Linked DNA regions of Sus scrofa. The protein of the gene in region 1 purifies or fractionates together with the protein of each later gene. This does not show direct contact. Links are inferred from orthologs where the notes say so. Each region holds a gene or a part of one and is shown in the gene's direction. Other genes may lie near its edges. The genes, in order: LYN, PLCG2 and ANKRD54.

Evidence for each region.
Region 2: the proteins of LYN (region 1) and PLCG2 purify together in Homo sapiens (affinity purification with western blotting; 3 studies listed by BioGRID, with this or other methods). This does not show direct contact. The link is inferred for Sus scrofa from reciprocal best matches to the Homo sapiens genes LYN and PLCG2.
Region 3: the proteins of LYN (region 1) and ANKRD54 purify together in Homo sapiens (affinity purification with mass spectrometry; 3 studies listed by BioGRID and IntAct, with this or other methods). This does not show direct contact. The link is inferred for Sus scrofa from reciprocal best matches to the Homo sapiens genes LYN and ANKRD54.

Annotation. Positions count from the first base shown.
Region 1 is NC_010446.5:75,839,105-75,842,758, reverse strand, and holds part of LYN (tyrosine-protein kinase Lyn), read left to right. Parts: intron 1-286; coding exon 287-436; intron 437-2,236; coding exon 2,237-2,389; intron 2,390-3,654. UniProt on the Homo sapiens protein: Non-receptor tyrosine-protein kinase that transmits signals from cell surface receptors and plays an important role in the regulation of innate and adaptive immune responses, hematopoiesis, responses to growth factors and cytokines, integrin signaling, but also responses to DNA damage and genotoxic agents.
Region 2 is NC_010448.4:6,435,726-6,439,102, reverse strand, and holds part of PLCG2 (1-phosphatidylinositol 4,5-bisphosphate phosphodiesterase gamma-2), read left to right. Parts: intron 1-858; coding exon 859-1,043; intron 1,044-1,655; coding exon 1,656-1,698; 3' UTR 1,699-3,377. UniProt on the Homo sapiens protein: The production of the second messenger molecules diacylglycerol (DAG) and inositol 1,4,5-trisphosphate (IP3) is mediated by activated phosphatidylinositol-specific phospholipase C enzymes. It is a crucial enzyme in transmembrane signaling.
Region 3 is NC_010447.5:10,015,949-10,018,294, forward strand, and holds the end of ANKRD54 (ankyrin repeat domain-containing protein 54), read left to right. Parts: intron 1-36; coding exon 37-161; intron 162-341; coding exon 342-449; intron 450-698; coding exon 699-773; 3' UTR 774-1,792; downstream 1,793-2,346. UniProt on the Homo sapiens protein: Plays an important role in regulating intracellular signaling events associated with erythroid terminal differentiation.

The DNA of each region.
Region 1 (3,654 bases):
CGGGTTTGGTCCCTGGCCTTGCTCAGTGGGTTGAGGATCTGGCGTTGCCGTGAGCTGTGGTGTAGGTCGAAGACGAGGCTTGGATCCTGCATTGCTGTGGCTGTGGTGTAGGATGGCAGCTACAGCTCTGATTTGACCCCTAGCTTGGGAACCTCCATATGCTGAGAGTGGGGCCCTAAAATGCAAAAAAAAAAAGGAAGCAAAAAAGGGTTTACCATGGTGTGTATAATGCTTATCATACTTACAGAACATCAGTGTAATCATTGCTGTGCTTCTTCCCCCTCAGGAAGTTACTCTCTGTCGGTCAGAGATTACGACCCGGTGCATGGAGATGTTATTAAGCACTACAAAATCAGAAGCCTGGACAATGGGGGTTATTACATCTCCCCACGAATCACTTTTCCTTGTATCAGTGACATGATTAAGTATTACCAAAGTAAGTGACAACACAAGGTCAGACAGGAAAAGCTATAACTATATGGTGTCCAATACTTTTTTATATTGCAATTTTTTGTATCTTGCCACTTTACTGAATTCATTGATTACTAGGCTTCTGGTAGTCTGTAGGATTTTCTATGTATAGTATCAGGTCATCTGCAAATAGTGACAGTTTTATATCTTCCTTTCCAATTTGGGTACCTTTTATTTGTTTTTCTTGTCTGATTGCTGTGGCTAGGACTTCAAATACTATGTTAAATACAATTTTGGGAGGTCCCATCATGGCTCAGCGGAAACAAATCCGACTAGTATCCATGAGGACACAGGTTCACTCCCTGGCCTCACCCAGTGGGTTGAGGATCTGGCATTGCCACGAGCTGTGGTGTAGGTCACAGATGTGGCTGTGGCTGCAGTGTAGGCCAGCGGCTACAGCTCCGATTTGACCCCTAGCCCGGGAACCTCTGTATGCCTCGAGTGTGGCCCTAAAAAACCAAAAAAAAAAAAAAAAGGAAAAAAAAATTTTTTTTGTATGTGTCATATTTCTTCTGGATAAAGCTGGAGGATTATAATTGGTTCTAAATGAAACTATAAGTATACATTCAGGGTCAGCTTGGGTCTTTATGAATAATTATCACAGACCTTCCCATTGATTTGTGCTGTTTTAACAGCTGCTGTTCCAGAATTACAAAGAAAGTAATGAATATTATCTTGGCATCGTACATACTTTTTTACAACGCATCTTTAAATGTCTAGACTAGGAATGCCGATTTGTGGATGTGTCTTAGTGTATATATGTGTACGTGTGTGTAAAAGTAATAGATACTCCTGGTCACAGAAAACAGAAATAACCCCCAAACACCAAATTATTTAGAAGTGGCCCATCAGCTCCAATTCCAGACTGCTCTCCAGCACTGCTCTGATGAACCCACAACCAGCCTTTAGGTTTGAGTTTGGCTGTGATGGGCAGCTGTTGTTACTGCTTATTTCTTCCACCTGCTCTAAGGGAACACGCCTGATAAAATTTGCCTAGGTCCCACAGTATGGAGAGAGCAAGTGCCCCGGATTTGGTGCCCCCGCCCCCCGTTACCCCCACCCTCTGTTCATCAGCCCCGTGCGTTGAGTGCTTGTGGAGCCCTGGCCCTTTTGTGGAGCTAGGGTCTCCTGGTGACACAACCAAGTCCCCAGCATTGTGCCCTGAAGAGCTTACATGAGCTCGGTGATGATACTTTTATTAAGTGTGACCACCTGTCTGTCTTTATTTATCTGTTCATTCTGCTTTTAATTTTTATAGATTAGCATTCCTGGTGAATACAATCCAGTCTGTCTTAAATTGTCTTTCACTTAAGAATTTCAAATGTGGAGTTCCCATTGTGGCGCAGTGGTTAACGAATCCAACTAGGAACCATGTGGTTGTGGGTTCGGTCCCTGCCCTTGCTCAGTGGGTTAACGATCCAGCATTGCCGTGAACTGTGGTGTAGGTTACAGATGCGGCTTGGATCCTGCATTGCTGTGGCTCTGGCGTAGGCCGGCAGCTACAGCTGATTCGACCCCTAGCCTGGGAACCTCCATATGCCGAGGGAGCAGCCCAAAGAAATAGCAAAAAGACAAAAAAAAAAAAAAAAAAAAAAAAAGAATTTCAAATGTTATGTTATTACACAGAAGATACCCCCTTGAGTATTTTAGGTTTGTAGACTTTGGCGGGTTGGAAATGATAAGATGGATCGTCCAGACGTCTCTGCAGATGCTGGTAAAATGCAAAGGATCACCTTTTCCGCGTTTACTCTCTCCTTCAAATCAGAGCAGTCGGATGGCTTGTGCAGAAGATTGGAGAAGGCGTGCATTAGCCCCAAACCACAGAAGCCATGGGACAAAGATGCGTGGGAGATCCCCCGGGAGTCCATTAAGCTGGTGAAGAGGCTCGGCGCTGGGCAGTTCGGGGAAGTCTGGATGGGTGAGTGTGTGGGAGACAGAGTCCCCTCTGGAGGTGATGGTGGGAGACGCAAGAACTCCAGCCGTTTCTGTCCGTTTTCTCAGAAGTATGGCTACTTTTGTTTCCTTTTGTCCACCTGGTGCCAAGGACTCACCTACAACACCCACGAGATTAGATTCTACCTCTTCCTGTGACTTGGTAACTCTCTTTCAGGAGGAATGTTTATCAGGAAGTGGGCAGTGGCATTTATGCTGGTGGTTCTGTCTTCTCTTCCACGATTCTCTCATCACCAGACTCTCTGGATACACCCGTGAAATAAGTACCGGAACATGCTTGCATTTCAGGGAAGGGTGGCCCTGGGCTAGGACCATCCTTACTAGGGAGCTGAAGAGAGAGCCTCACATATACTGTGGTTTCTCACCAAGAAACTTTCTCAAGATGCTCAAAGTTCCATCATCAGTGAAGCATTCCTTATTATTAAATGCTGCCATCTCAGGCTGGCAAGAAGTTCACCGAAATTCCAGCAGTGGCTTCCCCCAGGGAATTCTTTTTACCCACCTGTCTTTTCTAAGGTTTTTTTTATAGTGAACGTGAATTCCTTTCCCTTTGTAATAAGATTTTTTTTTTTTTCTTTTTCCAGCTGCACTTCGGCATATGGAAGTTTCCGGGCCAGGGGTCCAAGGGGAGCTGCAGGTCTACACCACAGCCACAGCAAAGCTGGATCCGAGCATATCTGCAACCTACGCCATAGACTATGGCAACACCAGATCCTTAAGCCACTAAGCAAGGCCAGGGATCGAACCCACATCCTCACAGAGACAATATCGGGTTCTTAACCCACTGATCTACAATGGAAACCCCTGGAATAAGAATTTCTAACAGCTCTTTTTCTTGGATCACAGTCTCCACGCCAGCTTTGCGTGAGTGAGAACAGTCGTGATTTCTAAAGAGAAAGGGTAAATGGCTTTTGGAAACTGTTTGGCCCCAGCAGAGCACAAACTAGGCTCTTCAGCCTCTGCCTCCTCGTGGTCGTGTCATGTCCCCAGCCAGGGGTCTGTGAGAGAGGTTTGCCCTCTAAAATCTCAGCCCCTGGCATCACAGCTTTGCCCATCCTCTCCTGTTGCCGCTGCTTTAGCAGAAGGGGGAGCAGGATGGGACTGTTAATGGGTATGGGGTTTCCTTGGGGGCCATGAAAACACTCCAGTTATTGATGGCAGGGATGGTCCCACAAATATAAATATAGAAAAGCCAATGGATTATATACTTCAAGGGAGACAATAATATAG
Region 2 (3,377 bases), on another chromosome or scaffold:
TGTTTCAGTCATGGCTGGATCCAGGTGCTCTCCCAGTGGCTCTATTTCTTTCTCTATATGAATGACAACACAGGGACCAGTAGCAGCAGGAAACATTCGTCACTCTTTCTGCCAACCCCCAAGAGAAGCAACTGTCTTTTTACCAAGAACACCAACCCAAGCCCTGTGGATACTATCTACCTGGAGATAGGTGTGGCAGGGGAGTAGGTGGTTACTATCAGCTAGAACTGAGTCACATGCCCATCTCTAGGGCATAACCTATGTGACGTTGGCTCTTTTGACCAGAGGAGAATGAGGGTAGTATTTGTTGAGATATAATTCATCTGCTGTACATTTCACCCATTTAAAGCATACAATCCAGTGGTTCTTAAGTCTATTCACAGAGGTGTAATCATCACTATGACCAATTCTGGAACATTTTCATCACTCCCAAAAGAAACTCCTGCTCCTTAGCTGTCTCCACTCCCTCCACCCTCAGGCTGCTGTCCCCTCACCTGCTGTGTGCCACTGGAAGCACACAGCCTTTGCATTTGCATGAGAGCCACAGGAGACAGACCCATGAGAAACCAGATTTAATGAAGAAATAGGATCAGACAGCAGTGCATTTGTTTTTTCAGTGTTTCATAATAAAGTTACCCCTTCCTGTGCACCAGAATTTCTTAAACTGCTTGCTTCCAATGGACTAAATCATGGTGAGCGTATCTTTGGTTAAAATTGGCCCTGGCTTTTCTGGGAAAATCCCAGCAGATGAGCAGATGCGCCCCAGGCTCCCTGCACTCACACCCGCCCGGGGCTGCCGCCCACGCTGCAGTTTTAAGAGACCAGCCCCACATGGTTGTTTTGCCCTTTCTCCTCCAGGAGAGTGAGGAGGAGCTCTACGCCTCCTGCCGCCAGCTGCGGAGGCGCCAGGAGGAGCTCAACAACCAGCTCTTTCTGTACGACACACACCAGAACTTGCGCAACGCCAACCGGGATGCCCTCGTCCGAGAGTTCAACGTCAACGAGAACCAGCTGCAGCTCTACCAGGAGAAGTGCAACCGCAGGTGGGTCAGCCCCACCCCACGGGTCCCCTGGCCAGGGCTCTGGGAAAGCCTCCGTCTTTAGACCGCCTCTGGCACCCTGGACTCTTCGTCCCTTTGCTTCGTAAATTACGTAGAGTCACATCTTAAGCAGCTGCACTTTGCCTGAGTTGAACTGTCCTCGGGAGAATGGCATTTCCATCTACCAGGGAGAGCCAGCCACGGCCACGACCCTTTAAGGAGCTTTGCTTGAGATCCCAAGCATGGGCTGGTCCAGGACTCCCCACCCCCCTCCCCAACGGGGATGCTTCTGATCGGGCTGCAGGCACACAAGGAGGGCCAGCCAGGATGCCACGCTGCCCTGGCCTACAAAGAACTCTCCCCAAGAAAATGCCCTGGAAACAGCGTGGAGCCTCCTTACCCATGTTATTCTCATTGCCTCTTTCTACACCTCCAGAGTAGCAGCGCCCAGTGAGCAAACAGATTCAGAAAGGGTACAGTGCCGGGGGCCCACCTCTCCGACTCTGCCCTGTGCCCTCCAGCCCTGAATGTCCCTCAGCTGTGTGGCCGGAGAAACGCTGGCCTTCAGCCCTTGGCCCCTGTCTGAGACTAACAGTGAAATCTGCTTGCCCGCAGGTTGAGAGAGAAGAGGGTCAGCAACAGCAAGTTTTACTCCTAGAAGCCGCGGTGCGTGCGCGCACGGGCGCGTTCACACGTGGGAGCATGTGTGTGCCCGGGACGGGCTCATCTGGGACGTCATCCTCCCCTCAAGCCTGTCACCCAGACGACCTGTCCGAAGAAGACCCAGCTGGCATGAATTGGGCGATTTCCTGCTAGTTTTTTCATCTCGGACAAATCTCTTAACTTAGAGTCTCTTTAGAGGATGCCCAAAACGTGCTCGCTCGTGTTTGGCCTCGCGTGTTCCAAAGTCACTGAATAAAAAAGCATGAAAAATCTCGATCAGTTAAAGCTTCTGTGCACGACCTGCAGAGTGAGCAGGACTCCTTCTCGGGCCTCTAACGACCCAGGTAATCGACTTCCTCAGAAGATGAGCCCCGGTGTGTAAGGAACTCATTCATTAGCTTCCGGAAAGGATTCTCACTAAAAGGCAAAGGATCTGACAATTAAGGCCATCGGATTTCACCAGGGCCCAGAGGAGCCCTCGCCCTGCCCCTGTCAAAGCACTTTACCTACCACCGGCTGACTAGCCGGCTGGACAGACCCGCGCTGTGCCTGAGAGGGGCTGGGGGTGAAACCTGTTCATTAAGATGGAGACTTGCTTTGTGACTGGAGCGAGTGGGGGTCAAGGGTAGAAGTCTTGGGGCCTCTTTGAATACAAAGCCCATCAGCGATCAGAGCCCCTAAAGGTCAGCCAGCTTCCTCTCACCCCTGCTCTGTCCACACAAGAGCTGGCTGCACAGCCACCAGCCGGCTCGGGGGCGGGGGGGTGGGGGGCAGTTCTCCTCAGACAGGGGGTCACTGACTGATTAAACGAGGTGAGGCAGGTTAAGGCTCTCTGGCTTATCCAGTTTCCTGGAGCAGCGAGCAAAGCCTTAGCAAACTACAGAAGAAATCGCCGCAGCAGCCCCCACCCAAGGGGCAGGCCCACCTAAGCCAAGATTCAGTTCCTCTGCCTCGTGAGATGCAACTGAATGACTTGTGCAGAGGGATGATTTAACAAGGCTTTTTAAAGGCGAGGATAGGGTGGGGTGTGGGGGCAGGGGAAGGGGCAGGAGAGCCACCACTTGGTCAGAGTGGATGGAGAAACGACTTGGGAGAAAAAAAGTAACTATGAGGAAAAAGCCATCATGTTGGGAAAGAACAAGGTAGCCGTGAGCCTGGTGGCCTTCCCTGGACAGGCCTGTGTCCTAGAAACCCATTCAGCCCGCCCCTTGTTAGCCTGGGCTTGGCGTGCATGAGTTGCGAAGGGTACCTTCAAACCGGCCACGCGCTGTTTGATCTCAAAACCCCACCCCTTCGTTCTGCACAGGTTATTCAAGTATTTCCATACACCAAGCTCTATGCCAAAGTCCAGGGCTACAATGTCTAAAGGAAAACCAAGGAAAAATAAGAGCCAGGGTTCCTGGTCTCATGGAAGCTATCCATTAGCTTATAAAAGAAATGCACTGTATCTTCCACGGAGCCGGGAGTATACCTAACAGCAGCCTGACCACGGTAGGGCTGTAATGACTTTGTTATTCCTTGTCGAGTTGCTGTTTTATATCTGGCACTTGGCAACTGACGGAAGATATTCCTGATGGTAGCAAAGAAGGATTAGATGGACAAAAAAAAAAAAGGATTAGATGGAAAAGGCACCGAGCTGAATGCTGCAGAGAAGAAATTCTCAGGCCCTGTGCC
Region 3 (2,346 bases), on another chromosome or scaffold:
CCCATCCCAACACGCTTACCTCTGCCTGCTCCACAGGGGCCCGTGTAGATGCCCTGGACCGGGCTGGCCGCACGCCCCTGCACCTGGCTAAGTCAAAGCTCAGCATCCTGCAGGAAGGCCATTCCCATTGCCTCGAGGCTGTGCGGCTGGAGGTGAAGCAGGTGAGCACCTCTCTCAGCTGAGATCAGCACGGAGCGAGCCCTGGACAGGTGCTGCCTGAACCCCCACGGGGCCCCTGGGTGACTTCCCACAGACCCCAGCTGGCACCTGTGCCTCTGTGCCCCTCGGCAGCAGCCTCTCTGCGCCTCCTCGTACACGCTCAGGCCACCCTCTCGTTCCAGATCATCCAGATGCTGCGGGAGTACCTGGAGCGCCTGGGGCGGCATGAGCAGCGCGAGCGGCTGGACGACCTCTGCACCCGCCTCCAGATGACAAGCACCAAGGAGCAGGTGAGCCGCAGCTGCAGGCCCCGACCCAGGGCCTCGCGGGAGCCGCGGGGCCAGCACCCTCCCCCCGCTCTGAGGGCTGCGGGCCGCGAAGCATCTGTCTGCTGCCTTTGAGGCTGCTCGAGAGCTGTTCCTTAGTCACCGTGAAGCCACCACAGGCCCTGGGAAGACAGACAGCACCGGCCCTCCATGCCTGTGGAGCTGTGGGGGAGGCTCGGGGACACCCCGTAACAGCCTCGGTGTCGCCCTCAGGTGGATGAAGTGACCGACCTCCTGGCCAGCTTCACCTCCCTCAGCCTGCAGATGCAGGACATGGAGAAGAGGTAGCGAGAGGCTCCCCGCCTTCCCGCTCCGCCGCCACCCCACTGCCCCCGCGCTCTCATCACAGAGGAAAAGCCCGGTGCCTCGCCCCCCAGCTGCTGCAGATGCTCCCCCACCGACCTCGGAGCCACTCCCCGCCGGGGTCTGTAGCGTCTCTGTGGGCCGGGACCACAGCCCCGGCTTCCTCCTTCGGCTCCCTCGGCACCGCAGCCACACCTCGGCTCTGACCAACATGCGATGTCCTAGCAGGCCCCCCCTCGCCTCCCTGGCACCCCCAGCCCACCCCAGACCCTTCCCTGTGTCCCCTGGTTGCAGCCAGCAAGATTGGGCTTCGGGCAGGCACCCTGTGGCCTAGGGGGCCTCTCGGCCGGCCCCGTACTTCTCACCAGCACTTAGATTTAGACTGGCCAGCCGACTTGCGAGGAGACGTGGCAGTGAGTTGGAAGGGGAGGGCTGGTGGGGCCTAGACCTTAGAGATACGAGGCCAGCAAGGACCCGACTGAACCCAAAGCAGAAAACCCCCAGCCCTTTTTCTCCCAATCACTGAAACCCCAGAAGGGCGTAGCCATTCTGCAGCCTCGTTGTAGCAGGCTGAGGAGTGGCCCCCAGAATGGCCATGTTTGAATCCCAAGAAGCTGTGGACATTACCTTCGATGACAAAAGGGACTTTGCAGATGTAATTAAGGGTCTTCAGACAAGGTGACTGTCCTGGATTGTCTAGGCGGGCCTGATATAATCACAGGATCCTTATTAGAGGGAAGCGGATCAGTGAGGAGATACGGTGATGGCGACAGAGGTGATGGTGACAGAAGCAAGAAGTTGGATTAATGCGATGAAGAAGGGGTCACAGGCCAAGAAATGCAGGCAGCCTCCAGATGCTGGAAGAGGCAAGAAGATGGCTTCTTCCTTCAGAACTTCCAGAAGGAACCAGCCTGCTGACACCTTGACTTTAGCCCAGTTAGACAGATTTAGTCTGACTACCAGAACTGTAAGAGAATAAATTTGTGTTGTTTCAAGCCACTAAATTTCTAGTAATTTGTTGCAGTAGTAACAGGAAACTAACATGCTAGTGAAGGCTCAAAAATTCACTGTAGGAGTTCCCTGGTGGTATAGTGGGTTAAGGGTCTGGCATTGTCACTGCTGTGGCTCAGGTCACTGCTGTGGTGCAAGTTCAGTCTTTGGCCTAGGGACTTCTGCATGCTGCTGGCACGGCCAAGAAAAAAAATCCAAACACACACGAACTCACTGCAAAGGAGCCCCCCCAATCCGCAAAGGAAAAGACCTTCCCCTTGGGGCTCAGACAAGCAAAAGGCAGCGCCCCCAGAGGTCCACCACAGTGGGAAGCCTGAAGGGAAGGCCCACCAGGGCCAGCCCTCTCCGAGGAAGCATTTGACTATAGTAAAGACAGACTGTCCAGGAGTTCCCTTTGTGGCTCAGTGGTTAATGAACCCAACTAGGAACCATGAGGATTCGAGTTCAAGCCCTGGCCTCGCTCCGTGGCTTAAGGATCTGGTGTTGCCATGAGCTGTGGTGTAGGTTGCAGACATGGTTCGGATCCCTAGTTGCTGTGGCTGTAGGC